7 linked regions of the Macaca fascicularis genome follow. The protein of the gene in region 3 interacts with the protein of the main gene of each other region in a pairwise test. Links are inferred from orthologs where the notes say so. Each region holds a gene or a part of one and is shown on either strand. Other genes may lie near its edges.

The links.
Region 1: the proteins of KRT40 (region 3) and MXI1 interact in binary tests that used the Homo sapiens proteins (3 or more experiments, as listed by UniProt). The two-hybrid records come from large-scale screens. The link is inferred for Macaca fascicularis from reciprocal best matches to the Homo sapiens genes KRT40 and MXI1.
Region 2: the proteins of KRT40 (region 3) and SNAI1 interact in binary tests that used the Homo sapiens proteins (3 or more experiments, as listed by UniProt). The two-hybrid records come from large-scale screens. The link is inferred for Macaca fascicularis from reciprocal best matches to the Homo sapiens genes KRT40 and SNAI1.
Region 4: the proteins of KRT40 (region 3) and CCDC185 interact in binary tests that used the Homo sapiens proteins (3 or more experiments, as listed by UniProt). The two-hybrid records come from large-scale screens. The link is inferred for Macaca fascicularis from reciprocal best matches to the Homo sapiens genes KRT40 and CCDC185.
Region 5: the proteins of KRT40 (region 3) and ZGPAT interact in binary tests that used the Homo sapiens proteins (3 or more experiments, as listed by UniProt). The two-hybrid records come from large-scale screens. The link is inferred for Macaca fascicularis from reciprocal best matches to the Homo sapiens genes KRT40 and ZGPAT.
Region 6: the proteins of KRT40 (region 3) and ZNF202 interact in binary tests that used the Homo sapiens proteins (3 or more experiments, as listed by UniProt). The two-hybrid records come from large-scale screens. The link is inferred for Macaca fascicularis from reciprocal best matches to the Homo sapiens genes KRT40 and ZNF202.
Region 7: the proteins of KRT40 (region 3) and SHFL interact in binary tests that used the Homo sapiens proteins (3 or more experiments, as listed by UniProt). The two-hybrid records come from large-scale screens. The link is inferred for Macaca fascicularis from reciprocal best matches to the Homo sapiens genes KRT40 and SHFL.

Annotation. Positions count from the first base shown.
Region 1 is NC_088383.1:119,356,048-119,360,090, reverse strand, and holds part of MXI1 (max-interacting protein 1), read right to left. Parts: intron 1,039-4,043; coding exon 875-1,038; 3' UTR 1-874. UniProt on the Homo sapiens protein: Transcriptional repressor. MXI1 binds with MAX to form a sequence-specific DNA-binding protein complex which recognizes the core sequence 5'-CAC[GA]TG-3'. MXI1 thus antagonizes MYC transcriptional activity by competing for MAX.
Region 2 is NC_088384.1:106,071,394-106,075,484, reverse strand, and holds the end of SNAI1 (zinc finger protein SNAI1), read right to left. Parts: intron 1,696-4,091; coding exon 1,511-1,695; 3' UTR 664-1,510; downstream 1-663. UniProt on the Homo sapiens protein: Involved in induction of the epithelial to mesenchymal transition (EMT), formation and maintenance of embryonic mesoderm, growth arrest, survival and cell migration.
Region 3 is NC_088390.1:62,067,910-62,072,662, forward strand, and holds the start of KRT40 (keratin, type I cytoskeletal 40), read right to left. Parts: upstream 2,874-4,753; 5' UTR 2,820-2,873; coding exon 2,373-2,819; intron 1,675-2,372; coding exon 1,592-1,674; intron 979-1,591; coding exon 822-978; intron 1-821. UniProt on the Homo sapiens protein: May play a role in late hair differentiation.
Region 4 is NC_088375.1:81,409,828-81,414,212, reverse strand, and holds CCDC185 (coiled-coil domain-containing protein 185), read right to left. Parts: upstream 2,755-4,385; 5' UTR 2,728-2,754; coding exon 856-2,727; 3' UTR 729-855; downstream 1-728.
Region 5 is NC_088384.1:119,823,674-119,828,200, reverse strand, and holds the start of ZGPAT (zinc finger CCCH-type with G patch domain-containing protein), read right to left. Parts: upstream 3,028-4,527; 5' UTR 2,948-3,027; intron 2,519-2,947; 5' UTR 2,491-2,518; coding exon 1,910-2,490; intron 1-1,909. Other genes in the region: ARFRP1 (ADP-ribosylation factor-related protein 1), read left to right, coding at 3,214-3,267, 3,924-4,022, 4,283-4,370. UniProt on the Homo sapiens protein: Transcription repressor that specifically binds the 5'-GGAG[GA]A[GA]A-3' consensus sequence. Represses transcription by recruiting the chromatin multiprotein complex NuRD to target promoters.
Region 6 is NC_088388.1:122,522,602-122,526,558, forward strand, and holds part of ZNF202 (zinc finger protein 202), read right to left. Parts: intron 3,047-3,957; 5' UTR 2,950-3,046; coding exon 2,548-2,949; intron 1,887-2,547; coding exon 1,676-1,886; intron 1,292-1,675; coding exon 1,203-1,291; intron 348-1,202; coding exon 218-347; intron 1-217. UniProt on the Homo sapiens protein: Transcriptional repressor that binds to elements found predominantly in genes that participate in lipid metabolism.
Region 7 is NC_088393.1:10,631,528-10,636,027, reverse strand, and holds the start of SHFL (shiftless antiviral inhibitor of ribosomal frameshifting protein), read right to left. Parts: upstream 3,078-4,500; 5' UTR 2,967-3,077; coding exon 2,946-2,966; intron 2,474-2,945; coding exon 2,350-2,473; intron 2,152-2,349; coding exon 2,102-2,151; intron 1,927-2,101; coding exon of another isoform or gene 1,788-1,926; intron 1-1,787.

The sequences.
Region 1 (4,043 bases), on a different chromosome or scaffold from region 3:
GAAATAAAAATGCTGCTGTGGCTCAGACCTTGGCCTGCTAGTCTGCGTGCACAACTCTTCTGACCCACGCAGACACAGAGGCACGTGGAGCTTTTTCCTTCTGGCCCCCCAATCCATACTCATAGGCCTTGTAGGATAGAGGCTGTCATGCATGAACTGCTCCCATGTGGCCTAAGGGCAGCAGGATGGAGAGCTGGCAGTTGGGTGCCCTAGTGCTAACAATGCAGGATAAGGTTAGCTTGCTTAGCATGGAATCCAACAGAAAGCTGAGCTGCATGATGATCCCTTTCAAAAGGCTTCATGGGAGTCTCTCCTTTTGCAGAGCATGAAATGAGCTTTTTTAAAAAATAATAATAATAAAGGATTGATCATCCACAGGCTTCATGATAAACTGTCCCAGGCTGAGTTTTAATAGCTCATTAGCTATCCAAGATTAATACCTGATTTTCTTGTCTTTTCATTTGAATACTTTTTATTTCGCTTTTAGGACCATAAAGCTCAGGAAGGGTTCATAACCCCATCCTTAAATGTGTCTACTCAATGTAGTATGAGCAAACTAGAAAAGCGAAAGAGGATGGCATCTCCAATGTCCTCTTTTCAATCAACTCAAATCAAGAAAATTTCACACAAGTTTTCTGCTGCCATTAAAAATTATGATTTTTCCAATATGAATATTCTGAATATTTGTTCTCCTTGGGAGGCTCTGCCCCACTTTTTGCTAAGTATTTGCTTAAATACAGGTCCTCTGACCCTTTTGTTCAAGTATAGTTTAGTTTTAAAGAGGAGACTGCATCATGAACCCAATTTAAGAGATTGTTTGTATTGAATTGGCCCAGTGAATATTTTGCCCTGCACTGTTATGTCATGCTGGGTTCTATGAAGTGAATGAAAGTTTGACACTGGCACTGGAGTAACCCTCATCACTCCCAATACTCGGCAGGCTGCTGTGGTCATCAATGTCACTGATGCTGGTGGTACTTATATTGTCCACTTCTCCATGGGAGAACTCTGTGCTTTCAACATCCACTTCAATCTCCTCTGCCAAAGGAAAAAAAAAAAAAAAAAGAACATTAATAATCAAGTATAGCACACCTTCAAAAACTAACGGCATGAGGAAAAGAGGTATAAGAAATGTTAATACAACAAGCCTATTATCAGTGATCCCTGGAGAACAGAGGAACTGAAGGTGAAGAGACAGGAATATTTTTTTGCCAAGGGGAATGTCTGACATACAGTGGTGGTCTGAATTTAGGCAGCAAATTTACTAAATCCTTTGACGCCAGTTCGTCTGGACCTCCCACTAAAACCACTTGGCGTATTTGGGAATTAGTGCTTAATATTAAAAGGTCCTAACCCCCAAGTGGTTTAAAAACATCTGTTTTGCATTAAACCACAAACTAATTCTCAGTTCTGTTTATTAATCAGGGTTGCCTTAAATGGTGGGCAGGAGCATAAACTTAATATAGGCAAACTAGAAAATTTACCCATCCAGGCCTTTGTTGGTGCCATTCTACAGATAGTTCAACACACTTCTAGGATTCATCATAAAGATCTTCAACTAGTCAGTCAAACAAGTCATAATAAAGTAGAGTTTGAGGGATATGTCTTAGATTTAACTTTCTTGCATCAAATATAGCTTGAAATAAGGGCCTGAGACTTAAAAGTCTTCAGATTATAGTGAGATCCATTTTGGTGGTAGTATACAGACTTAAAAACCAAACATTAAAAAATAAATAAATAAATAAATATTTGACTCAGCTATCAATAGATAATGTTGCTGGATGCAGTGTCTGTAATCCCAGCACTCTGGGAGGCTAAGGCAGGAGGATCGCTTGAGCGCAGGAGTTTGAGACAAGCCTGGGTAACAAAGTGAGACCCCATTTCTACCAAAAAAAAAAAAAAAAAACCCCACAAAAATTAGCTGGGTACAGTGGGTGAGCCAGTAGTTCCAGCTACTCGGGAGGCTAAGGTGAGAGGATCACTCTTGAGCCCAGGAAGTTGAGGCTGCAGTGTGCCCACGTCTCATCACTGCACTTCAGCCTATATGACAGAGTGAGACCCTGTCTCTTACAAATAAAAAAAAATCTTAATTGTTAAATACTAGATATTCAATCACCAATAATATACATAAAGCAATACACGTTAAAAACAAAAAGGAGTTAAAAAGTTGTTTTCTCCCATCAGAGCTAGAGTGAACCCAGGATTTTTCAGTTACCTTAAAACAAATTCAAAGCCTGATGTTTCTTTCACATTTGGCACTGACTTTAAGGGGTCACACTAATCACAACTGCTTTAAAAAAAAAAAAAAAGTGGATTCAGCCAGGTGCGGCCAGCACTTTGAGAGGCCGAGGGAGGTGGATCACGACATCAGGAGTTCAAGACCAGCCTGACCAATTTGGTGAAACCCTGTGTCTACTAAAAATACAAAAATTAGGCGGGCATGGTGGCACGCGCCTGTAATCTCAGCTACTTGGGAGGCTGATGCAGCAGAATCACTTGAACCTGGGAGGCAGAGATTGCAGGGAGCCAAGATCGCGCCACTGCACTCCAGCCTGGGAGACACAGCGAGACTCTGTCTCAAAAGAAAACAAAAAGTGGATTCTTGTGAGGCCAAAAGGACAGGGTGAAGCTATTTCCAGGAATATACTTTTCAAAAGGGCTTGTTGCTTCAAAAGTTTTAGAGATTCTAGAGTTGTGTTTTTAAAATGTAGGCAGCTATCCAAATAATCTATTAATTCATATATTTGCTCTATATCCATATTGCTTCAGAAACCATCTTTCCCCACACCACTGAACATTCATCCAACCTACAACTAGAAGATAATAACAAGGCACACTATTCAAAAGAGCATGCTGAACTCAGTCAAAACAAAGTAAAATGATGGCCAGCACAGCGGCTCACACCTGTAATCCCAGCACTTTGGGAGGCCAAGGCAGGAGAATTGCTTGAAGCCCAGGAGTTTGAGACCACTTGGGCAACAAGGCCTATCTCTATTTTAATAAAATTTAAAAATGTTTTAAAAATTTAAAAAAAAAAATGAGAAACTGCTTTAGCCAAGTGTACCAGAGATGTTAACTAAAAGCCCCTGTAACACTACAAAAAGGAGGTTGCCAGCTCAGGATAAGGATGGTACTTGGTAAGGTACTACTAAAGTAAGGTACACTGGGAACACTAAAAAAAAATATGAGAGCTATAGTGATGAAATACACCCTCCTCTCTGAAATTTGGAGGTAGTTGGGGTGGGTACAAGGAGGAGGTAACAGGAAGGACAGCTAAAACCTAAAGACCTAAGAAGAGGTTTCCACTAGTTAGCAATAGAGGAAAGACCAGGACACCAAAGTCTGGGTTATTTCTGCTATACCTAATTCAGGGTTATTTCTGCTATACTTCACTGTTATAAATGCAGCATGTCCTTCAGGTTCTTGCTACTGCCTCTGGTAGACTTTTCTTGAAAACTGAGTGCCACACAAAAATAAACTTTTACATAGAAAAATAACAGAACAGAAAAACAAGAACTCCTAGGGTTGTGTTAAAAAGGATGAAGAAACTATTTGAAAGGCTCCTACTCACCAAATCTGGGACAGTTTGAGCATTCAAAAGAATTTAAAAGGATGACTGCAATGGATTGGAACACATTCGGTACAGCAAAACGTGAGTTCATGATATAATCAAAAACCAGTAAAACCAAAACTTGTTACTTCTGGAAGTTGCTATGGTACCAGCTCTGTTTGGGAAACTGATAAAGCAAAAAACAAGACCAAGCATTTATCCCACCTTCCCTGTATGAACTTTATTTCAGGATAACGGAAAAGTTGAGAAAATGTTTATAGAAGAAAAACAGTTAATAAGTACATGAGGAATGACACAATTAGAAAACCACTATTTTATGTCACCTCAATGAAATAAGGGCAATAATTGCTAAAACTATTAAGTTAAAGGCTGATACATTTATATAAATGTATTAAAATGACCTTACCTGAACCTACTGATTAATATTAAAAGTGCAACAACTAGACACAATACTGACTTAACAGGAAGTACA
Region 2 (4,091 bases), on a different chromosome or scaffold from region 3:
CATTTTCTCCTGGCCCCAGGAGGCCCCCAGTGGTGAGGTCACCACCGTTGGCCCAGCCGGCGGGGAGTGAATTACCCTAGCCCAGGACGCAAACTGACCGTCCCGCAGTCCTCGGAGCAGGAAGCTGAGTGACCCCTACCCTTTGGCCTGGCTTCTCACCCTCCTGGCTCCAGCCAGCCAATTTCCTTGCATCAAAGGCCATTTGGTACCCAGCAGCAAGACGGAGGTGTGGGACTGACAAGGAGGCCCGAGGGGGCCGGGAGCCCTTGGAAACAGGAAGGACATCCTCTGTCTCCTTGGTCGCATTCCACTCGCATGTGGGGGAAGCGGCCCCAAAAGACCTGCAGTGCTGGGGCAGCTTTGCAGCCTGCCTAGTTGATAAGACCCAGGAAGCCAGCTCTGTACCCCATGCGCCAAATCGGTTTCAAAATTCAAGAATGAGAAAGTAAACAAGAGCCACAGTGTATAGTGAAGAGCTCATATGGATGCTGCTGGCTCACCCAAACACCAGCAGACAGAACACCCAGGACTCCAAAGCCCTGTGACGTTTCCAAGGACAAGATTTAAGGCTGTGTCAGAAATATCTAAGCTTCAGGAATTCCTGTCTCCTCCTCCCCTACCAAAGACCTTTTAAAATACCCACTCCTCTATTACACCAGACTCTTTTCAATATATAAATTAACTGCTTTATTGAATATCAATAAACTGTACATATAACTATACAAAACGTTTCCTTGATACAAAATGTTTGAAATATAAATACCAGTGTACCTTTAAAAATGTAAACATCTTCCTCCCAGGCCCACCTGTCAGGCCCCCAAAATAGTTCTGGGAGACACATCGGTCAGACCAGAGCACCCCACTTGGGCCCCCGACAAGTGACAGCCATTACTCACAGTCCCTTTTGAGACACTGTTAAATTGCCCGGGAAACAGGTGCCACCCCACCAAACAGGAGGCTGAAATAGCTGCCCGGGCTTGGGGCATCTCAGACTCTAGTCTGCCACCGCCTCCGCAGGGCCCGGGGCTGCACCTGGGGGTGGATTATTGCATAGTTAGTCACACCTCGTGGAGGGTGGCCTGAGGGTTCCTTGTAGGGGGGTATGTGTGAGGGGAGTGGGGTCCCCTGAGTGGGGTGGGAGCTTCCCAGTGAGTCTGTCGGCTTTTGTCCCGTAGCTCAAAGCAGCTGTATCCAAACAGCTCTGGATACAAAAACCCATGCAGAAAGGCCAGCTCAGGAATCCCCCGGGGGCTGGGACTGCCAGCTGCCCTCTCTCCACAGAAAAGGCCACGGGAAGGCCTCCTCCAGAGCCCACTGAGGGACCCAGGCAGAGGAAACAGAACCAGAAAATGGTCTTCAAGGTCCTGTGGGGCTGATGCAGCCAGAAGTGGGGCACTCAGAAGGGAATTCCATGGCAGTGAGAAGGACGTGGGGTCGGTCCTTCCTGCTGGATTGGGGGAAGGCTGTCGGGCAGGGGGCAGGTATGGAGAGGAAGAGGGAGCCTCAAGGGTCAGCGGGGACATCCTGAGCAGCCAGACTCTTGGTGCTTGTGGAGCAGGGACATTCGGGAGAAGGTCCGAGCACACGCCTGGCATTGGTACTTCTTGACATCCGAGTGGGTCTGGAGGTGGGCCCGCAGGTTGGAGCGGTCAGCGAAGGCGCGACTGCAGTGGGGACAGGAGAAGGGCTTCTCGCCTGGGGAGAGAATGCCAGAAAGGCCGAATGAGCCGTGGGACAACAGCTGGCAGTGATGGGAATCCCTCCCCGCATACCCTAAACCCCGAAAGAATCCCACGATCCCAGGAAAGTCAGGACTCAAACACGCAGCCAGAGTCCAAAGGCTGGGACCTGACGGAGCTCTGCTGCTTCCCACTGTGCAACTCTGGGCAAGTTGTCTGGCTTCTCTGAGCCTCCATTTTTCCACCTGTAAAATCGGGCTATCCATCCCCCACTCATAGGGGTTGGTAAGTGACAGAAGGTAGGGCACAGTACTCATCCACATCCCGCAGAGATGTGCGAAGTGGTCAACGACGACCGAACATCTTTACTGATTCGTCCTACTGTCACTTATTGGGGCCAAAGCCAGAGTCAGCCTTAAGAGGCCTCCCCACCCCCACCTCCAAGCTGGTTAGGCCACTCCTGGGGCTGGGCCAGCAGCCTGCTTTCCTCACTACCCCACCTCTGGTGCTGTAATCCCAAATCTCCTTGTCTGTTCTCCAATCAGGCTGAGTCCCATAAGGGCAGGGGCCTTCTTTGAGTCCATTCTAAGCCCCAGCCCAGGGCCTGGGCCCCTTTCTAACACCGAAGAGGCTATAGAAACCTGTGCCTCTGACACACCATCTGCCTGGCCAAGGCTGTGTCGGAAAAAGTCTTGCATATGGAGCTGGGTACCCAGTAAGTCCTCAATAAGCCCTTAGAGAATAATTAAGTCTGCTTTAAAAATTAAAAAGGCCTCAGAGGAGTCTGCCCCTCACTCATGCCTTGTAATAATCCCTGCTCCAACCAAAAGGCTACAGTTCCAAAAACACCAATAATGCTGTTTGTTTTTTTCTGGGGGATGCAGCATTTTCCACATAAAAGGTCATAACAATAACTCATTAAACAAAAATCTATTGAAGCCGGGTGTGGTGGCTCACGCCAGTAATCCCATCACTCTGGGAGGCCGAGTGAGGCAGGAGGACTGCTTGAAGCCAGGAGTTTGAGACAAGCCTAGGCAATAAAGCCAGACCCTGTCTATAATTTTTTTTTTAAATCTATTGATCTCCTACTATGTGCTAGACACTACTCTATAATACTGAATAGTCTCTTTAAAAAATATGCAATTCTCCAATCCCCTCACGCCCAGCCTGACATGCCCGCGAGGCCAGGGCCTGTCTGTGAAATCCCAGCGCTGGATGGAATTTAAGAGCTGAGAGTGAATTCATTCCATCACCTCCTGGGTGCCTAGGGTGCTACACTGAGCTACCAGGGTAGGAGGGAGTCCAGAGAATGATTCCAATGGGACCCATGCATTCCATAGGGACTTATGGAGCACCTGAGAGCTGGACTCACTCTCATGGGGCAGAAATGGAAACTCGACACTCCAAAGGGTGGGGGACACAGAGGACTGGGGGAGGGGTGCCTGAGCACTACTCCACTCTGCCATTACTCAGCAGCCTCCCCACGCCAGGCCTGAAGCGTTTGCTGATTGCATTCTAAGTCTTCATGTGAATGAGAAGGGTAAGTTCACCCTTGTGAACTAAGGGCTGACTCTAGAGGTCTGGAAAAGGGGCTGGAGTCCATTTGTAAGACTGGAGTTACGATGGCACCCCCCTTCCCTTCCCAGGGCTGTTGGTGAAGTCCCGAGCACTACCTCCTGCACAGTAAGTGCTCTAAGTGTGATGAGACACAAACCCGAACAAAAGGGGAAGGAGACATTCTAGGACATGATGGGCTGGGGGCGGGGGCTGCACGCATATGCAGGAGGCACTGACCCCCACTCCTCAGATCCCTCGCCCCCCAGACGCCTTCATGGTACTCCTGGCAAGTGTGAAATCGGCACCAGGCCGGTGGGGACAAAGGGCGCCGAGGGGGGCACCGTACATGCGATACCCCCGGATTAAAGGGGCCTGCCACGCAGTGCGCCAGCAGCTGCGACTGGAACAGGTGCTGGGCACCCCTGCCCCATGCACCTGCTCCACCCCTCCCAGCCCCCACCCACTGGGCCCACCATTAAGGCACACAATGGGAGTCAATGAGGACCGAAATGATACATTTCAAGGGGATTTCTGTGCCTCAGCCATGCCTTTACATTAAAATAATGTCCGGATGGGAGGCGAGAGAGGCAGGCAGGAGAGCAGCATCCTGAGGGGTTCAAATCTCCCAAAATAGAGCCCTGTGAGCTGGGCAGGCACGGGGAGCCCAGCAGTTGGACCTTTACATGTTAAAATCAGGGCTACTGGTGCAGGAAGGAAAAGAAATGGGTAGCCTTAGTCGAATAAGATGCCAATAAAGCCCGCGAAATGCCAGTCCTCCCAGATACCTCACTGACCCTCACTGCTCAGAGGTCAGGCGCCGGGCCAGGAATGGTAGAACCTGGCCAGCTTGAACCC
Region 3 (4,753 bases):
TACTTTGTTACATCATTCAGCTTTTCATTTTCTAGCTTTATCACTGTATTAATCACTTTATATTTTATGACTTTTAAAAGTTTATAAATGCGGAATATTTAAAAACACTGGTCCAGATAGTGTATGAGTCCTTATCCCTTTTTTGAAACGGACTTCATAGTCTGTTTCTCAGACTGATTTTCATACCCTGTGGATTGGAGCTAGGGGTGGCATAAAGCCTCCAAAGGAAGCCATTTGTGAAGTTACTCACCTCCTCCACAAAGGCAAGGGCAGGAGAAGAGTTTGGTTCCTTTGTCTGGCACTGTCTAGGGGCTATTTCACATGTTAATTCAGAGACACGCTGGAATGATCAGGTTGAATAGTAATAATGCCTCGAGTAGTTTTTCTGCTTTTTTGTTTGTTTGTTTTTTGAGATGGAGTCTTGCTCTGTTGCCCAGGTTGGAGTGCAGTGGTGAGATCTCGGCTCACTGCAACCTCCGCCTCCTGGGTTCAAGCTATTCTCCTGCCTCAGCCTCCCGAGTAGCTGGGACTACAGGTACCCACCACCATGCCCAGCTAATTTTTGTATTTTTAGTAGAGATGGGGTTTCATCATATTGGCCAGGCTGGTCTCGAACTCCTGACCTTGTGATCTACCTGCCTCGGCCTCCCGAAGTGCTCGGATTACAGGCATGAGCCACCGCGCTTGGCCCTGCCTGGAGTAGTTTTATTCCAGCTTAAGCAACATCCGCCCAAATTTGATTTACAAACATCAACAGATCATCTGTCAGTGTTAAGTACGTTACTCTCGGAGTCCTTCAGTGGCGTTGCCGCTTTCCTTACCTCTTCATGGTTTTTCTTAAGGCAAAGGAGATCTTCCTTCAGAGACTCCACATGGGCCTCCACATCAGATTTGCACAGGGTCAGCTCATCCAGGATCCCATGCAGGCCACTGATGTCTGCCTCTAATAGCTGGCGAAAGGACAGTTCACTCTCGTACCTTTCACGGCAAAAGAGAAATCCAATGCTTACTTTGCTGAACGCTGTGCAAAGTGTGGGGATACGTGGAGGATCGACACATGGACTTCAGGAAGCCACATGCATAATTTCTCTTAATTCCTAAGTAATGATAAATTCAAGCTTTTAAAACATTCTTGACTTTAAAATATTATATAGAGAATATTTGTGGGGGTGTGTGTGTGTGAGAGAGAGAGAGATTAAGAGAGAGAGAGAGAGCGAGCCATAAATTATTTTCAAATTAAAATTAAGGCAGGGTGTGGTGGCTCATGCCTGTAATCCCAGCACTTTGGGAGGCCGAGGCAGGTGGATCACCTGAGGTCAGGAGTTCAAGACCAGCCTGGTCCACATGGTGAAACCCCATCTCTACTGAAAATACAAAAATTAGCTGGGTGTGGGTGGCGGCGCACGCCTGCCTGTAATCCCGGCTACTCAGGAGGCTGAGGCAGGAGAATCGCTTGAACCCAGGAAGCAGAGGTTGCAGTGAGCCGAGATAGCGCCATTGCACTCTAGCCTGGGCGACAAGAGTGAAACTCCTCAAAATAAGTAAATTAAATTAAATTAAATTAAATTAAATTAAATTAAATTAAACTTACTTTGACTTAAAGTCATCAGTGGCCAGTTTGCAGTTGTCAAGCTGTACAGCAAGTCTAGAATTCTCTGCTTTCGTGCATAAGATCTGGGAAGCAAGCCATTATGTGACAAATGATTCTTTGAGAGAAACCTAAATAAACTTCTATCCAACAGCTGTGCCATTAGTTATCTTTTGAAAGTCTTTATAAGAAAGTATAAAATCACCCTCAGCCTGCTTTTCTTATTGACCTTGTCGCTTCATGAAGAAAAAAGCAGTGCCAATTTAGAAGCAAAATAGAGAAATAAAAAGGTTTAGTTTTTTAATAACATAAGACACTTTGCAACATCCCTAGGCAGTTGAACACCATTAACGTTTTCTCCATCAGTAGTTTGTATTATGACTCTATCCTCTCCCATAATAATAGAAATTCATCAAGGAGACAAGCAAATGATTACTAGGTGGTTAAAAAGATGGCATTTGACGATTTGTGTTCAGATAATATAAATGTTCAGTGTCAAATACAAAAGCGATTTTGGATGTAATACAGTTTTTCTGCATTCTATAGATGATGAAGGAAAAGCCTAAGGGCGAGTTACTTTATTATAGTCACTCAGTTATCAGGGGTAGTTCTGGCGCTGGTGCTGAGGTTTTCTGACTTTCAGTCCAGTGGTCTCCCCTATGTACCATTAACTCCTGGAATTCCCCTTTCCCTTGGTTGCCTTCTGGAAAACCGTCCCTCTGGTAGAAAGATAAAGCAAGTCATAGATCCGGAAGGTGGAGCACTAGGGCAACAGGACACACACCTTTTGTTGGAGATCTTCAATGGTGTTGAAGTAACACTGATAATCCGGGCACACCATTGGGATATCCTGTTCACATTGTTCTTGGATCCTGGATTCCAGCTCTGCGTTGGTCTCCTCCAGGCTGCGCACCTTCTCCAGATAGTTGGCAAGTCTGTCATTCAGGAACTGCATCGTCTCCTTCTCATTGCTAGTGAACACCCCATCCTCACACCAGGCACAGTTCCCCACCAAGCAGGGACTGTTACAACTCCCAGTAAAGTAGCATGGCAGGAGGCAACCAGTCAGCCCGCGAGACCTGGATAGGAAGCTTGGAGTCTGACATCGGGATGTAGCACAGGCACCGGGGAGACAAGCTGTTTCTATGCAACAGCTTGAGGCAGGTGCACAACCGGAGGCCGTGGTACAGGATTCAGGAGAGCAGTGTGTGGAGGAACAGTCAGAAGTCATCCTTCCAGAAGCAAAGACAGAGGCTGGCTGCAAAACTTCAGTTGCCTTGACTCCAAAACTCTCCTTCCCTCCTGAGAGTTTTATAACGCCCCAAAATGGGTGTTTACAGACTGCACCGGATGTTTTCTTTATCACTGATGGTGCCAGTTTTCATACAAACATCTCATTAGAGTTGTTTATTTACTGAGGAAGAGTTTTATGCCTCATAAAAGAGGGATAACTTTAGGTTACCGAAGCAGGACCTACACCATTTCCATGTGCCAGACAAAACACTTATTTCAGAAAATTGTCATAGGAAACATTGTCCTTTTGACAGAATAAGAAAAGAAAGAGAAAATTTGGCCAATCAATAATTATAGATACAACTCATTACAAATCAGGAAAATAACATGTCCACAGATTTTGATTCTGTGCATTGATTGCTTGGGTCCCCTTTTAAAATTAGTATTACAGCTCATAAAATGACATTTATTTGTTTGTGCCACCACCATAAAAATGGTCAGTGTGATTAGCAATCTTTCAATGCTTTTTGTGTTCTCAGAGTATGTGCTGACAAGACTGGAGGAGTGAGCTATATATTGGACTTAATGTGTGTGTGTGTGTTTGTGTGTGTGTATACAAACATGTCTACCTGCGTACAAATGGAAAAGTCACTTTACGTAACTGATAGGAATAACTTGTTTTTCTGCAGGCTAAAATATAAATTGGTTAGAGCTGGAATTATGATCTTTGATTTTCTGAAACTTGCCTTCTCCCCATTTCTCATTTCTTGTTATTAGATAAGTTACACTATTTTACGTGTATTTCTAATGAGAGTGAAATATAAATTGTAAGTTATAACCTTTTAGTCCCTTGGGAATTCCTCAATGATTATACTTCAGAGTAGGGACAAGGAACCCACAGGAGTCTTTTCTTCTGAGATGTACAGCCTGTTTTCTCCTATTTATTTATTTATGAAGGCCTGAATTTCATGAAAATTAAAACTGCTGGAACTTGCAAAATAAAATTTTATTTAGGTTCCAAATCAGTGATTCCACTGGATGAAATCTCTGGTGCCAAATCTGACAGATAGGAACTTGAGATGTGTAACTTTTTTGGATTCTGTCTTGGATTTCAGCTCCATTATGAAGCATAATCTGTTTCACTTTGCTTGGTTTTAGTCGTTATGTTTATTTCATTTTCAAAGGTGCATAGAGAAAATTGCCTGTAGAATTTTTGAGAACATTATAGGAAAAGAAAACACAGTAATCTGAAAAAGTTAAAAATTTTTTGATCCAGAATAAACTTATTTTTTCCCCTAATCCTGAGGGCTACTTCCTAGGTAGCTGATAATAGAAACCAAACCAGAAGAACATATGTAAGTGAGTTAAAATAGTCTCTGAGGATTTATTACTCCCTGGGCAGAGTTAGGTTTGAATTTAGTGATTCTCTTTACACATCAACACTTATGCAAAAAGTTCTTAGAGTGTCTCATGGTATATTGACGCTGCTCTGCAACAAATATGAGTTCAAGGATTCAAAAACACTTCTGAAAAATTACAAATCTCTGAAAGAAAATTATCTTTTCACAGTAACCTAATGAGTCAAAAGAAAAGTATCTTTGAAGAAAACCCACGTTTTGGTTGTCCATCACAGGTTCCAGTTAGCTAAAGCGCAGTCATGTAACTGCAGGTAAAATAAGAAATATTTCCTTTTGTCTGGAACTAATTTCTAATTGTAAAGTATTGGTTACTAGTTAGTGTCCTGCAGGGTAGGACTATTTGTTTTGTTCTTGATTAATTAGGTAGTGTTGTATAATAATGATCTATAGCTATAGTCTCCATCGTAGAATATGGAAATCACCCAGAATTCATTTCTGTGGAGTCCTCCTTAGGGAAGAGAAGTCAGGCTGGCAGGACCAGAGGAAAGCAAAAAAATAAAAATAAAAAATAAAA
Region 4 (4,385 bases), on a different chromosome or scaffold from region 3:
ACCCCCACCCCCATGATTCAATTATCTCCCAAGGCCTCTCCTACAACACGTGGGAATTATGGGAGCTATATAGCTCAAGATGAGATTTGGGTGGGGACACAGCCAAACTATATCAGATGGTGTGGCTGTGGTGGAACAGTCAAGAAATAGTGCTGATGGAATTATAAATACTTCCTATCAATACATGGAGGGAAGGCCAAAGAAGTTCACAATCAGATAAGAACTATAGAGTGCCGTTTTCAAAAATGTTTCACAGAACATCAATTCCATGAAATTATCTGAGAAAAAAAAGAGGTGAGGGACATTAAACATTAAGTTTCTTTACTGCATGTCTTTAAAATTTTAAAGTGCATTATGAACTCCCAAGAGAGGATATAGTATGCAGGGTTCCCAAATCTACTCGTTCACAGGAATCCTCCCACTTCACTCTTTTTAAAATTTCTTTTTGTCTTGGAGATTTCTTATGATGCGTACTTTATACTTCACCCTTTCATAAGTTCTGGGACAGGAAAAGACTTAAGACATGTCACAGAACTGTATCCCTAACTATAGATTTTTCTCTGGTGTCTCCAAAATGTGCCTGTTGTGTGTTTCTCAGATTACTTGAGAGCTAAATGAATATTTTGTATTCAAATCGAAATTCACAAAGCCAAGTCATTTTCATAGAAATTCTCAAAATTTTCTCCCCGACCCTCTAAACTATCCAAGTGAATCAATAAACCAGTTCATGAGAGGAAATTGCAGCTATTTTATATGCTTTTTTAAAATCAATGTTCAATTATAATCAGATTACAAAAGGAATCACATTGCCACATCTCCTTCTGGCTGGCGCTGTAAGCCAGGCGTCCTTGGTTCTCAGTAATCCCTGTTCTGCTGACAGGCACGGAGCTGGGCCTCTAGTACTATCTGATCAAGGGAGCTGTTGGGAGGCGCTCTCTCTTCTCTCCTGGAGGCCTGAGGGAGCTTCTGGAACTCCTGGAAGTTTGGGTCTTTCCCTTGGGTAATGTGCCGCACCCTCTGCTCCTTTTTCTTAATGGCCTCCTTGATGCCTTCAATGTGGCACTTTTCCTCCTTCTCGGCTTTCAGTTTCAGGATGTGGTGGTTTTTCTCCCTCAGGTGGTTGAGCTCCCGGAGGTGCTGCACCTTGTCCCTAGTGGTCTTGTGCACGTGATTCCTGGCCTGTCGGATCTTCTCATCTGCCAGCTCCACCAGAATCCTTTTGCGCATCTTCCTCTGCTCCTCTGACTCCCCTGCACGCCACCTGGCCTGCTGCAACTGCTCTTCCTCCTTCTGGGCCTTCTCCCTCAGCTCGCGGTGCCGCTCCTTCATCAGGCCCTGGTGTATCTCTTGGGACCGCTGGAAACTTTGTTCCAGGGACAGCTGCCTAAGGAGCTCCTCAGCCTTGGCCTGGCAGTCCATGAGGACCTTCCGGGCCTGGTAATTGATGAGAGAGCTCAGGTTGGTGTCCTGGACCTTCTTCTGTCCCTCCACGGCATGCAGATGCCTCTTGCGACAGGCCTCCACCAGCCTCCTCTGTAGCTGCAGGGTGTGTTGCTCCCGGAGGTTCCGTTGCATCTTCTCCTGCTCCCGCAGGCGCCGCACCTGGCACTGCTTTCGGTGCTCTGCCTGGGCGCGCGCCTTCTCCAGCTTCTCCTGGCGCGGGCTCTCCTGGTCCTCAGTTTGTTCCTTCCACCGGCTTTCCCCCGGGGTCACGTTCTTCCTCTGGCTGTCCCGCCGCCGGCAGCGCTGCTCAGGGCTTTGGAGGGTCTTGCGCTGCTCCTTCTCCTGCCACTGCTCCTGGCTCTGCTGCAGCAGCAGCCGGCGTTCCCGCTCCAAGGTCATCTGGACCTTCTGATCCGAGCGCTTCAACTCCTCCCAGGCCTCAGCCGCCTGCTGCTGCAGCTCCCGCATCCTCTGGGCCTTCTTGAGACGGGTCAACACGAGGGCCACAATCTGCTGGTCCTGGGAGGACACCACTGCCTCTTCCAGCTTGCTCTTCAGGACCTGGGTGTGGGGGCTCCGCATCTCTTTGCTAGAGGCCGAGGGCTGGGAGTCCCGGCTTGCTAATGACTCAACCTGGTCGCTGCTGTCTCTCTTCTGGGCGCACCCGCAGGCTGAGTGCCTCCTGAACTTTTGGGAGGGCACAGAAGACCGCTCCGAGGGAACTGAGGAAGCGGACCAGCGACCTAGATGTCTGCCGAGCGGCACTGCCCACTGGTCTCCACCCTGTGCCTTTTCTACCCTGAATGTGCCACTCAGGGGAGTGCCAGCTCCTCCGGAGTAAGGCGGGGGCGAGTCTCCCTGGGCCAGTGGGTAATGCGGGCAGGGCTGCGGCCGCTGGGGTGGCAGCTGGGTCTGCGGCTGCCAAGCTGGGCGGGGCTTGGTTCCTGTCTCTCCCCAGGCATCTTCTAGGCGCCTGCTGCGGAGCCCGTGCTTCCTGGAGCGGTCCAGGGGCCTGCGGACCACATCGCTCAGGCTTCGGCTGCCCCGCGGTGAGTCTGAGCACCCGCGCCTGCGAGGCCGCGGCGTGAACGAACAGTGCGGGTGCAGCCAGCACGCCCCAGCTTCGCTCTCCGCACCCGGAGTCTCGGCCCGGGAGCACGCGGGGGAGTTGGCTCCGGACCTCTGCCCGCCCAGCCGCTGCGTGGACTCTCGCTCTCCGCCGGGCCGCGGGGGTTCCCAGAGGTCCCGGTAGGGCGGCTGGGAGAAGTGGCTGAAGCCTGCCATCCCTCCCTCTGGGCACGCGCAGAGTCTGCGCAAGGGGTCTGAGACCTCCAGAGGACGCTGCAGACACCCGCCCCGCCCCCCGGTCCCGAAGTCGGGGTCGCCTGTGACGCTCCGGCCACTTCACAATGCGCCTGGCAGCTGGGTCCCCGCAGTCTTCAGCCCTTGCCCGGCGCCGCCCACCCCAGTTTTGCTAGCACTCGGAGCACCTGGAATGGGAAGGACAGGAGGCTGGAGATGGGGGTGGTGGGGGTCGGGTGGGGGAGAAAGGGGTTGCAGGTTGGAGGAGGGAATATGTGGGAAATCAGGATGATATTTAAAGATGAGGGTGCATAGTGTCCCCCCACCAGTGTTTCAGGGAGAAATTTGAACTCGCATTTGCACACAAACAGCAGGATTTTAAGAGAGCCCGGGTGAAGGCGTCACCCTCAGAATAAAAAGGGTGGGGAGAAGGGCCAAGGTGCAGTTTCAGGGAGGAGATACCCTCAGCTGCAGAACCACCGTCCTGCACGTGTGTACCTCTGCAACGTGGTCAAATAGAGCGGCTGTGGACGCACATTAATATGCGACACCATCCATTTGCCGTTTTAAATTAGCAAGCCCAAAGTATGCTTTAATGTTAACTTTTAAAGATTTTTAGAAAAGGAAGACAACGACTCTATTTTCTAATATGGTAATTACTGCTTTTGTCAAAATATGAATGCTGCGTGCACATTTCTGAAATAGCATCAGTGAACACCATGTTGAAATCACATTTTTCCCCCTTTTCCTCGAATTTTGTGGGATTCTTGTTCCTTGTTGAGGCACCCTTGGCTAATGGGAAAAACACTGGATCTGGTAGAGAAAAAGAATTTGAATCTCCTCTACCACTCTTCACTCATGGGCTCTTGGGCAAATCCCTTAAGTTTCCATGACCTCCAGTTCCAGCAAGATGGAGTGGGAAGCCGGGCTCATCTTACCAGCATTGCAGGACTGTTGTGAGGATCAGACGAAATGATGCATCCAGAGGTTGGCACCAGAATACATTCAATAAATATCATTTTGGTGCCATGCTAAGCGTCAGTTAAAAGTTTTAAGAATTGGGTTGGGTGGTGGTTCATGCCTGTAATCCTAGCATGTGGGGAAGGCAAGGCAGGAGGATCCCTTGAGCCCAGGACTTAGACCAGTCTGGGCAACATAGAGAGACTCTGCCTCTATATAAACATTTTAAAAATTAGCTAAACATGTGTGTGCATTTATAGTCCCAGCTATTCCGGAGGCTGAGGTGGAAGGATTGCTTGAGTCCAGGAATTTGAGGCTGCAGTGAGCCATGATTATGTCACTGCACCCCAGTCTGGGCAACAGAGTGAGACTTTGTCTCAAAAACAAAGTGTTAAGACTTAAAGTAATATATGAATTTACAAATATTTCTGCAGATTTCTAGCTTAAGGAAATAATGCAATTAATGTAATCTTAAAATAGTTTAAGTAAAGGATAGAGTGCTAGAAAGGGGTGACTCCAAGCTCTGTCATGTTCACATCATACTGTGGATCCTGGCTAAGTCACTTCCCTTCCCTGGGGTTGCTATGGTCTGAAGGTTTGTGTTTCCCCCAAATTCTTAAGTTAAAATTCTAACCCTTAAGGTGATGGTATTAGGAGGTGGGACCTTTGGGAGGTGATTA
Region 5 (4,527 bases), on a different chromosome or scaffold from region 3:
AAAATGTTAATCAATGAGGACACTGGATGATGGACCGTGGATTATGGACCGTGGGCAGTGATTATGTTAAGCTCTCTAACTTGGGGTATGTTTGAAAATCTCCGTAAGAGTAAAATTTTCAGGCCGGGCGTGGTGGCTCATGCCTGTAATCCCAGCACTTTGGGAGGCCGAGACAGGCGGATCACCAGGTCAGGAGATCGAGACCATCCCGGCTAACACAGTGAAACCCCGTCTCTACTAAAAATATAAAAAAAATTAGCTGGGCGAGGTGGCGGGCGCCTGTAGTCCCAGCTACTCGGGAGGCTGAGGCAGGAGAATGGCGTGAACCCGGGAGGCGGAGCTTGCAGTGAGCTGAGATCAAGCCATTGCACTCCAGCCTGGGTGACAGAGCGAGACTCTGTCTCAAAAAAAAAAAAAAAAAAAAGTAAAGTTTTCAAGTTGAACTCTAGAGAATAAAACTAACAACAGGGCCGGGCGCAGTGGCTCATGCCTGTGATCTCAGCACTTTGGGAGGCCAGGGCAGGTGGATCACTTGAGCTCAGGAGCGTGAAACCAGCCTGGACAACATGACAAAACCCTACCTCTACTAAAACTACAAAAATTAGCCAGGCGTGATGGCTCACGTCTGTAATCCCAGCATTTTGGGAGACTGAGGCGGGTAGATCACGAGGTCAGGAGTTCAAGATCAGCCTGGCCAAGATGGTGAATCTCTGTCTCTACTAAAAATACAAAAAATTAGCCGGGCGTGGTGGTGGGCACCTGTAATTCCAGCTACTCTGGACACTGAGGCAGAGAATTACTTCAACCCAGGAGAAGGAGGTTGCAGTAAGCTGAGACTATGCCACTGCACTCCAGCCTGGGCAACAAGAGTGAAACTCTATCTCCAAAAAAAAAAAAAAAAAAAGCAGGCACTGTGTCTCACGCCTGTAATCCCAGCACTTTGGGAGGCTGAGGTGGGCGGATCACAAGGTCAGGAGATTGAGACCATCCAGGCTAACACGGTGAAACCCCGTCTCTACTAAAAAGTACAAAAAAATTAGCCAGGTATGGTGGCAGGTGCCTGTAATCCCAGCTACTAGGGAGGCTGAGGCAGGAGAATTGTTTGAACCCGGGAGGCAGAGCTTGCAGTGAGCCGAGATTGCGCCACTGCACTCCAGCCTGGGCGACAGAGCAAGACTCCATCTCAAAAAATAAATAAATAAACAAGTAATAATAATACAAAAATTAGCTGGATGTGGTAGTGTGAGTCTGTACCCCAATTACTAGGGGCGCTAAGGCAGGAGATCAGTTGAGCCCAGGAGGTCCAGGCTGCAGTAAGCCAGGACTGCGCCACTGCACTCCAGCCTGGTTGACAAAGTAAGACCCTGTCTCAAAAAAAATTAAAACAACAACCAAACAAAAAAACAATGACGATAGGTTGGAGACCTATTCTCTTCCACATAAGCCTTGCACTGTTGCTCAGGCTGGAGTACAGTGGCTCCATTTCCGCTCACTGCAACCTTGGCCTCCTGGGTTCAACCAATTCTCCTGCCTCAGCCTCCTGAGTAGCTAGGACCACAGGTGCGCGCCACCACGACCAGTTGAATTTTGTGTTTTTAACAGAGATAGGGTTTCACCATGTTGACCAGCGTGGTCCTGAACTCCTGACCTCAGGTGATCTGCCCGCCTTGACTTCCCAAAGTGCTGGGATTACAGGCGTGGGCCACCGCACCCGGCCACCTTCTATGCTTCTTGATTTACCCCGGAACAAAGACGCAGACGCCTGAACACAGACACTGCTGTCACAAAGCATGCCTGCCCCAAGAAGCTGAGACAAAACTGCAAAGCAAAGGGAGGGCCACCCTGACCCGACCCTGTGTGCGTGCCCCTTACGCCCCAAGGTTGGCATCCTGATAACAAAGGGTTTTACCTGCAGTTCTCCTTGAAGCGGCACTTTCCCTCCAGGAAGAACGGGCACGGCTTCAGAGACTTGTGAGTGGGGTACAGGTAGAGCACACGGACACCCGCCGAACCATCCTCAGCCTCTTCCGCTCCCACCACCATGGCGTTGTGATACTCCAGAGTGCCCCATGAGCTGTAGTAGGGTGCGCTCACCTTTGTCCCACTCAGCTCTTCCTCGTCCTCTCCCTCTTCCTCCTCCTGCCCACCTGCTGCAGATTCGGGCCCCGCCTCTGCTTTAGGAACGGTCTCTGATCCGGACTCAGGGGCTGCTGCTGGCGCCTCCACCGCCTCAGTGATGGCCTCCCGGAAAGCCTGGTACTCAGCATCTTCCCGGCCCGTGCGCTCTTCGTCCAGCGCGGCCAGCAACTTGCTCTTCCTGACAGACACCAGGCTGGCCTCGGTGAGCTCGATGAGCTCCTTCAGGTCCCCCTGCAGCTGGCGCAGGTCCGCCTGCTCAGACGAATCCAGGCCGGCGCCCAGGGCCAGCTCCACCTGCTGCAGCTGCGCACGGTAGGTCTGCAAGGCCGACTCCAGGCTCTCCTCGTCCATGCTGAGAGAGGGAGGCGCTGGACCAGGGCTGCGAGAAGAGAAGCCAGGTGAGCCTCGCGTCTCGGGACCGGCCCCACAGACTGCGGGAGGGCACGGGCACGTCCCCTGTCCCTCGGGGAGACACCGGCTCAGAGGCACAGCTCCCAGCGCAGAGGTCGCAGACCGGGTACCCCCGCTCAGGCTCCGCGCTTCCCTTCCGAGCCGCCCTGGGCTCGCCGCTAGCCGGGTCCCGCGTCACTCCGGAGACCCCCTCCCCGCGGGGCGCCCCGCCGCCCGGCCCTCCGCCGAGCCCACCCGCCGCGCCCGCTGCCTTCCAGGCCGGCCCCGCCCCCGCGCCCGGCGTCTCTGCAGTCTGGCCAAGGCCGCGTCCCCGCAAACCGGGGTCCCCTCTCCCCGGGCAGGGAACCTCCCCCGCGCGGTTTCCCAGCCGCCGCCATAGAGAGCCCGCCGGCCTCACCGGCTAGAGCGGCCCGGCACCCCCCTTTCGTCCCCGCCGCCGACCAGCACTTCCTCCCGAGCGCCGCCACTTCCGGAAGTGCCTGGCGCGCGGGGGCAGCCGGGAAGCGGAGCGCGGAGGCCGCCGGGACGCGTTTCAGCTCCTTCCCTGAGGCCGGCTCTCGTCCCGTCAGGCGCCGCGCGGGGTTAGCGCGGGGTCAGCGGAGGTCAGCGGGGGTCAGCAGCGGCGGCTCCGAGGTCGCGGCGGTCGCAGGTAGGCCGCAGGCTATGCGGTGGGGCGCGAGGCCCGAGGGGCGGCCCAGAGCTGGAGGTGGGACGCAGGTGTGACAGGAACCAGCTTTGGCTGCTTGTCGGCGAGCCTCCAACCTGGCGGCCGCGGCATGGGGCGGCCGTAGCCGGGGTCCCCGACGCGGGTTCTTTCTCCGCGGGAGTCGTTCCCTGCCCGCCGCGCGCCGCCTCCGGGAGCAGCCGGGCCGCTGCGCACCCGCCCTGTAGTCCGCTTCCCGCTGGCCGTCCCCGTTTTAAGAAATGGGTTGATGGGGCGTCCCTGGGGAGCTCCTGGGGAGCGCGCCGGCGGCTCGCTGCTCCCGGGTGGGGCGCGGGGGCCCAGGCGGGGCTGCCGCGAGTGTGTTCCCCGTTCCGCGCGCGTGAAGCGTGGGAGCGAAACCTCGGGGGAGGGCGGGAGCGCAGCGGAGCTCACCGCGAACACCCGGCTGGGTGGTCCCGCGAGCAGGGGAGGGACCGGAGCCGCTGCGGGTTCGGAAAGGTCGCAGTCATTGCTGTGAGCGGAAGGACGGAGTGGCGGCCGGCCTGGGAGGAGTTGCAGGGGTGCGGTGGAGGAGGGAGAGTCGGGAATGGCCCCCAGGCTCTGGTCCTGAGCGGCCAGCTGGACGTGGGGCGCCCCTGACCACCGTGGAGAAGCCCGGGGGCGGGGAGCTGCGTTCCGGCTGCACACTGACACATGTTGGGGCGCCCAGGGCAGGATGTACACGCTGCTGTCGGGCTTGTACAAGTACATGTTTCAGAAGGACGAGTACTGCATCCTGATCCTGGGCCTGGACAATGCTGGGAAGACGGTGAGTGCCCACTCCCTTGCCCGCACCTTTCCCACGGCCGGGTGGCCCCCGCTTCGGTTTTGTGCTGTCAGCTGCATGTTCACTACCCAGATGGAATCCACATTTCACCTGAGACGACAGGATTGTCACCACCAGCTTCCTGAAGAGCAGAGTGTTGCTTTGTTTCTGTTTTTCTCTCTTAAGGAACAGGCCTGAGGAAGGATATTTGGGAAGCCAGTGTAGCCCCTACTTGATGTGTCTGCCTCTCCCTCTCTCCTCAGACCTTCCTGGAACAGTCAAAAACCCGGTTTAACAAGAACTACAAGGGAATGAGTCTATCCAAAATCACCACCACCGTGGGTCTAAACAGTAAGAGGTCTAAACAGTAAGGGGTCTAAACAGTAAGGGGTCTAAATAGCAGGCTGTGGGTTTGGGGCCTTGAGGATGCCGTGACGTTCACAGTCCAGCTGGCCCTTGGCCACAGCCCTGTCAGTCCCCTCTCAAGTCTCATTTGAGTGGCACCAGC
Region 6 (3,957 bases), on a different chromosome or scaffold from region 3:
TTACAAGTTTGTTTCCCTATTAGAGGTTTCCATTTCCAAACATTTATCTTTTACTTGAAAGGACACCATATTTTGCACCTAATCCCTCAATTTTATTGGTGGGGAGGGCATAAGAGAAGTTCACTGCATACAATCTAAGGTCTAAGATCCCCCAAAATTTCCAGCAGGAAAAAGATCTCTGGGCTTAGAATACTCTAGAATACTTGAAATTCCTTACACAGAGAGACTACAATTCCACAATCTTCTTCCAAGACATATTCTCCATAGAACTCTTTCTGTGTTGGGTCCAGATCACTCCACTGGTCCTGGGAAAAGCATACGGCCACATCCTTGAACGTTACCAGTCCCTGAAACCACATAAGGATTTCATCAAAATGTGACGCTACAGGTAGCCTCGCATTTTGTACCTGTTGAAAGTCACACAATAGGAAGACTCCATCTTGGAGATGAAAGGAGCTCAAGTGGCGGGCTGCTTAAACTCATTCTCAGGGGAGCTATGTGTCCTCTAGCGTCCTGCACTGGCCCTGCCCCCTCCAACGCCATCACTTTCCCTGAGGACCAGCTTATGTTCTTCTTAAGGTACTGTTTAAAGGTCTTAAAAATCATCATCCCTACTTGACACTTTAATGCTACATACATTTCTGCAAAATTTATCTTTTCTAGTCAACTTTCCTGAACGACTCTAATCACTTTCAATAGTTTCTACACTCTATAGGCAAAACAAGACTTTTTTCCTCAGTTAGATTACAATCTAAAACCATACATGAATTCTATTTCTTATCCTCCAGCCACATGGCTTAGTTTCAGGGCTTTGATCATGGTGAATACTTGCTAAATGTCTCAGCAGTACAGTCTGTCATACTTACAAATGACTATCAGATGTATTCCTTAAAAAAAACCTAAAAAACCCTCATTTGACAACTTCGAAGTTGTACTGGAGTGTTACAAAATAATCTCATTTTGTTAGCTTTTCTAGTCAACGGCAAATAAACAGGCGTTGGCGCCTATGGATCCAATAGAGGGTATGATAATTTGTCTCATTATCTCCTCCCCTTTCTCCTCCCCTTCCAGGCATCTGCAGAACTGTGAGCTTAAAACTGGCAAGAGTGTAAATGTGTATCCTGCTTCGCCTGTTTAGTATGGCTAATGCCCAGTGGTTCTTCAAACAAACTCTCTGTGGTACAGAGGTAATTAGGGCACACCTGTGATAGAGCAGTAAGAAGAGCAACCATCTCTGAGTCTCCAGAGCTCCTCTCTGCGGGAAGGTCTGGCTCCTGGGGCACTGGGACCTCTATGAAGAAAAGGCGGCAAAGATCAGTAATATGCAGCGTGCCCCAATAATGGACAAAAATCTAGGCATCCCCCACCATCTTTGGTAAGAAGGTGGCCCTATCCTTCTTATTATGGGAACCAAGACACAGGCCTAAGGGTAGCTCCCATATCCCACACCCATCACCTATAAGACCATCAGAATGCCAAGAGAACAAGCAACGATCTGCTATCTAAGCTTGGCCGTGTTTTTAGGGGACTCTAGCTGGTGGTTCTGTCTCCTCTTGACATCCTGGATTCTGTGATTTCTTTCCATGCAGTCTACCCAGCTCCCTTGGTACAGGAGAACAGCCCCCTCCTTGCCTGCCTTCTGCCACAATCCCCCCTTTCTGCTGAGGCTTCCCACCGCTCTCCTGCAGGGACTGGAGCTCCTCTTCCTGGTGCAGACGCTGCTCTGCTGGTGCCCCCCGATCTGGGCTCTGTGTGGTTTCCTCAGGAGACTGCCGGGGGGTCGAGCTTTGCACAGGATCCTGTAGCTCACTAGGTGACTCAGGCTCCGCTCCTAAATGCACCGTCTCCTCTGACAGGACTTCCTGGCCGTGAACATGGACAGTCACCTGGGAATAATTCCAACTTCCAGTCACCATGGAGTCAGGAGGAAGTTCTTGGTTGTCATGGGAGCTTATTTTAGGAGAAGATGTCTAGAGAAAACACTCCCAGAGGGACCCAGACAAGGAGGGGAAACTCCAGTTCCAACTCAGCAGGCAAGGAGGAGCTGAAGCTTATCCTCCCCAGAACGAGGCAGGGGATGCGCAGGTCTGCAATGCTCTCTCACCACCCCCAGCTTTGGAACCCGTCACCCAAGGCTCCTTCCCATCTCCACCTGTCCCACCTGTAGCTCTCCTTGCTGCCTGCTTCCCTAGCTGACCAGCCAGGAAGGGGGATCTGTGACTGGGGATCTATGAGAACCTTTGAGGAAGTCACAAAATTCTTCTCTCCAGGAACCCAAGGCTCAACATTCAAAGAAGGGAAAACCAAAGCCATGACCCTTTGGTGGCTGAGACCCCTCAGACGGTCCCTACACAGGTGTTCCAAAATCCAGAAAGTCACATTCATACACACACATCCCCCTAATCCGTGGGGCTCATGGATCTATGAGCAACCCGAGGGCAGAGCCCACTAATAATTTATGGGGATCCTGCAAGCCCTCCCCCAAATCCAGCCTTCCAGCAAATAGTCCCCCTCCACATCACACAGATCAGGACTCCCCCTCCTCACCCACCGCCTTGGTCTCCTGGGTTGTTTCTGCAAACCCTCCACCAGCGTCACCGCCTCCTCGCCACTTTCTGGCCGTTGGCCCCGCACCCAGCTCTGTAGTTCTCCGGGCAGGACGGTAAGAAATTGTTCCAGTACAAGCAGCTCTAGAATCTGCTCCTTTGTCCGCCTCTCTGGTCTCAGCCACTGGTGACAAAGTTCTCGGAGTCTGATGAGAGCTTCTCTAGGGCTTGCGGCTTCCTGATAGCGGAAGCGCCGGAAGTTCTGGTGGGAGGTCTCCAGCACTGGGTCATCCCTCTGTAAGACAGACTCTGGCCTACAGGTGAAATCATCTTCCAGTTTCACCATCAGAATTCCCTCTTCTTCCCAAAGATCCTGGTCCTCTGGTTCCATGGCTGTAGCCATTTCTTGGCTTTGGGGTGGTCTCACACCATCTAGAGCTCACACTGTCATTAGACCCCAGCCTCAGCCTGGACACAGCGAGGATTTTCTGCCAAGGGCCCTGGATAGAGAAGTAAAGACAAACAAGAGTATAAGCATGAAACTACACACAAGGACAACAGTCTGAGTTCAATCATAATCCCCTATACAAACTTCTTCAAATGGTTAAATCCTCTTTTCCCCAACCTCCACAACCATAAATCAACACATCCAGTTGGGAGAGGACAATCCACAACTAAAGGTGTGGTCCTCTATCCCCCTTCCTAGGCAAGGTTCATACTCCAAGAGAAAATACTGCATTTCCACTTCATGAACACTGCCAATTCCATCTCTCAAGACTCCAAATCGGCTCCCTCCTCTTCCTTCCTACAGACCGCTTTAGTTTCAGGCTTCATCATCTGCTGCCTGGACTCTGCTCTAACTTCCTGAGATCCCTGCAGTACTCAACTATGAGCAAAGTGCAACAGAATTACCTGTGGAGGTTTTGCAAAACACAGTATCACACATTTTTCAGACACTCTGATTCAGTCAATCCAGGTAACTGTATGTTTAGAGATGCTACATGCAGTTCAAAAGTGTATCCATGGTTGAGAAACACCAACCATGAGGGAGGTGTGTAAGGTTATGAGCGAAAGTTCTGAAGCCAAGCTACCTGTGTTTGAATCCTGGCTCTATCGCTTACTAGGTATTTCCAGAGTGAGACCATAGGCAAGTTCTCATTCTCCTTATGCTGGTTTCTCTGTCTATAGAAGGGAGATAATAATGGTTTTCATCTAATAAATTTACTATAAGGATTAAATGTATTACTATCTTTGCTTAGAAGAGTGATGGCACCAGCGGTTGTCTTCCTAAATTATGGTTCCAACTATATTACTCAATATTTTAAAACAAAACCTTTTTAATGTTAGTAAAATCAGTTCCAAAATCCTGGGAATGACACGAAGCTCTTTACAATTAGCCCCCAAGCTATTT
Region 7 (4,500 bases), on a different chromosome or scaffold from region 3:
GAGGCCAGCCTGACCCCCGTACTCACTTCCTGCCTGCAAATGCCACATGCTTGTTGGTGTTGTGACAATATCGCCCCTTTGAGGCCACGTTGTGCTTGGCTAAGTGGTGGGGATCTGGACTGAGAGATGTGGGTTCGAATCCCAGCTCTATCACTTCCAGCTGTGGGGACTTGGACAAGCCACTCCCTGCCTCCTGGGTTCCCACTGACAGGCATGTTAGAGCCCAGACTCTGACTCCAGGTGGCCAGGGTTCAAATCGCAGCTGCCACCTGCTTGCTTCGTGAACCTAGCAAGTGACTTCATCCTCAGTTTGTCTGTGAAATGGGGATAAATAACAGGACCTGTCTCCTGGGGTCACTGTGGCGATGAAATAAATCAATTCCTGGAGTCTTGCCATATGGGAAATACTAAATGAATGCTACCCTCTGCTATTGTTATTATTATATTTTTGAGATGGAGTTTCACTCTTGTCGCCCAGGCTGGAGTGCAATGGCGTGATCTCGGCTGACTGCAACCTCCACCTCCCAGGTTCAAGTGATTCTTCTGCCTCAGCCTCCCAAGTAGCTGGGATTACAAGCATGCACCACCACGCCCAGTTAATTTTTTGTATTTTTAGTAGAGACGGGGTTTCACTATGTTGGCCAGGCTAATCTCGAGCTCCTGACCTCAAGTGATCTGCCCGCCTCAACCTCCCAAAATGCTGGGATTACAGGCGTGAGCCACCGCACCCGGCCCCTCTGCTATCATTTTTATCATACTTTTATATGTATAAATGTAGACTATGATACATATTTTACTATCCTCTGGGTTTTTTTGTTTTTTGTTTTGTTTTTGAGACGGAGTCTTGCTCTGTTGCCCAGGCTGGAGTGCAGTGGCGCGATCTTGGCTCACTGCAAGCTCTGCCTCCCGGGTTTACGCCATTCTCCTGCCTCAGCCTCCTGAGTAGCTGGGACTACAGGCGCCTGCCACTACGCCTGGCTAATTGTTGTTGTTGTTGTTGTTTTGTATTTTTAGTAGAGATGGGGTTTCACCATGTTAGCCAGGATGGTCTTAATCTCCTGACCTCGTGATCTGCCCGCTTTGGCCTCCCAAAGTGCTGGGATTACAGGCGTGAGCCACCGCGCCTGGCCTTTTTTTTTTTTTTGAGACAGAGTTTCGCTCTTGTTGCCCAGGCTGGAGTGCAATGGCGTGATCTTGGCTCACTGCAACCTCTGCCTTCCAGGTTCAAGCGATTCTCCTGCCTCGGCCTCCCGAGTAGCTGGGATTACAGGCATGCGCCACCATGCCCAGCTAATTTTGTATTTTTTAGTAGAGACAGGTTTCTCCATGTTGGTCAGGCTGGTCTCGAACTCCCGACCTCAGGTGATCCGCCCGCCTCAGCCTCCCAAAGTGTTGGGATCGCAGGCGTGAGCCATGGCGCCAGGCCTATTATACTGTAACAGCCCTACACTGAGCCTTTCAGGCAGGCGAAATCCACAGTGTTCCCATCACCAAAGCTTTCGAAGAAGCAAAGTAGCCATGATGCACCTGTGCTTCAAAGCCATTCATTCATTCATTCATTCATTCATTCATTCATTCATTCATTCAACACAAAGGTTCCCTTCCCCTCCCTCTCTCTCCTCCCCAATCCCCTGCTCATCCCAGCCTTTCTAGAGACTGACACTAACAACCCTTCCCCACCTCCCAGCCTTTGCTCATGCCATTCCCTCCCACACCCTAAGGCCCCTGCCTTTCTTTCCCTTTCCCCTCCCAGGGCTCACTCCTCTCCATCCTTTAAGACTTGGTACCTCCTCCTCCAGGAAGTCTTCTCTGATCTCTGCCCCCCCACGATGGCCATAATCCTGACTCCTTTCATTGCCTAGTTTCATGGCTGTCCGCCTTTGAATACAATCAGCGCATAATGAGCGCCTACTGTTTGCAGGCTCCCTGGCCGGACAAACGATAGAGAGGTGAAAAAGTGATATTGGGTGATGAGTTACAGACCGACAATGCCTGGTCCCTCCTGTTTCAGAGAAGTGTCAGTCACCATGAACCGGTCGGGTCCCCCCTCTTGCTGTCCCTCCCGTGACCCGGTCCTTTGCGAGGGGAGGGGACAGGTTACCTGGGCATCCAGATCGTTACTTAGTTCTTGGCCATCTTTTTGCTTTACCCCTGCGGGGGAGAGTGCGTATAAGAGAAGGGCCCTTGAAGGGTCTGTGGGAGTTCCAGGCCACCCAGAGCCGCGATGCAGAGCCTCCCCGAGGCTGGGACCTCCGGGGGAGGTGATCTCAACGCCTCTCCCTAGACCACGCCCCCTCGGCGCTCCCACGCGCGGTCTCCGCACCAGGCCCGGGACCCCAGCAGCCTCACCGTACACGATGGAGCGCCCAACTCCTGTGTGGTCGCTGCCGAATTTCCTCATCAGAGCCCCCGCCTTCTTGGAGGATACCTTCCCATGAAACTTCTCCCGGAGGCGCCGGACGCTCTTCTCCAGCTGGGATGGGGACAGGGGGGTTCCGGTGGGCGAAGGGGAAGCGCGATCGTCCCTCCCCCATCTCTAGGCACCGTTCTCCCGGCCTGAACTTGACCCTTGGTTTTGGCCTCCGCCGCCCCCCCTTTCATCCCTCTACGGCATTTCCTGGAAAAAGCCAAAGTCCCCACATGGCGCTGGGGGAGGGCGCGGACTGAGGCGAGCGTCCCAGCCTAAGGTGGGGGGGCGGCCAGGTTATCTCTGGCCTCTGACCTTTGACCCTGCAGCCCCCGCTTTTCCTCGGAGAGGCCTCATTTCGCTCTGGGGAAACGTGGGAGTCACTTTCCTTTTCAAGGGGGGTGAGCGCCAGGCAGGGGTAAAGATCTGGGGTTCTAGGATGGGGGTCCCCAGGAACTGCGAAGCCCCCTCCGCGCCTCTCGGCCGCTCCTCGGAGTCTGTCGCGTCTGCCCCCGGCCCAGCCGTAGCCATCTCTTACCTCCACACCTTCCTGAGACATGGTGGCGGCGGCGCAGGTCCCCGCGAGGGTCCGCACTGCGCGGTTCAGCCGCCCCCCTACCTGGGCGCGCCCGTCGGTCCAGCAGCCGCGCAGGGCAGGGGGCGGTGCCTCGGGGCCGGCTCCGCCCTTCCTCCCCAGCCCCTGTTTCGCTTTCGATTCAGGGGGGACCGGGCGCGCTGGCTCCGCCCTGGCTCCGCCTCTGCTCTTGCGCCCCAAACCCAGGCGGTCGCCCCGGGTCTGCACCCTGCGGCGGAGCGCGCAGACCTCGGGCGGGGGAGGCGGCGCGGCCTCTGCAGTCGGTCACATGTCCCCACGCTGCGCGGGGTCCGCGTCTTCACGTCCCTCGTGGGGGCGGGGCCGCATCGGAAGGCCGCGGCGAGGCCCCGCGCCCCCCCACCCAGCGCGCGCTCCCCCAGTTCATCACCCTCCTCTCTGTCCTCCCTCCTTCCCCGGGAATCTGGCGCTCATGAGGACCTGGGCGCTTTTCCTGCCCTGAGTCTCTGTCCTAGCTAGGGTCACCTCTCTGAACCTCAGTTTACCCCTCTGTGAAATGGGGAGGATCCTGGTGTCTACACCATGGAGTGGAGTATATGCCAAGATTCCCGAGTGGATCGCGTAATAGCGCCTGGCTTGCAGTAGGCACTCAACTAGTCACTGGGCCACCTGCTGTGTGCCCTTGATAGGGGCAGGCAGTGTGTGTGTGGTTGTGGGGAGCGGTGCTTGAGAAAAACACAGATTCTTGGTCTCTCGTTGCCCGGTAGAATCCGGCTGTCTCAGGGATCCAGGGAATCTGCAATGGTTAAGAACCCCGTGGGCTGGACAGTTCTAACCCAGTACAGGGCGCATCAGGGAGCCGTTAGGTGGTGGGGCTCTGGCCCAGCCTGGGGACACAGAGATGGCTACTTCATTGGAGGAGGGGATGCTTTGTACAGTCACTGAAATTGGAGGTCTTAGCTCGGGGACGAATAGAGTGGGGAGTTGAGGCAGCCGTGCAGAGCCCCCAAAACAAGACTAAGTCTGGGGCTTTCGGGCAAGGGCTTCTCAAGCCCAGCACTCTTGACACTTTGGGCTGCCTGGTTCTTTGTGTGGGGGACTGTTCTGTGTGTTGGGGGACATTTAACAGCATCCCTGGCCACTGCCTGCTAGATGCCAGTGGCTCCTCACTCTCCCTGTTGTGACTACAAAAAATGTCTCCAGAGACTGCCAGATACTCTCTGAGGGGCAAAATAGCATTGTGTTCAACGACTCTAAATTTTTTTCTCCATTGCACACCTCTATAGGTAAAACTGTTAAAATTACACCCCCAGATGGATATTTATTTATTTATTTATCTTTTGAGACAAGGTTTTGCTCTGTTGCCCAGGCTGGAATGCAGTGGTTTGAATACGGCTCACTGCAGCCTCGAACTCCTGGACTCAAACAATCCTCCTACCTCAGCCTCCTAAGTATCTGGGATTACTGGCATATGCCACTATGCCTGGTTAATTTTCAATTTTTTTTTTTTTTTTTTTTTTTTTTTTTTTTTTGTAGAGAC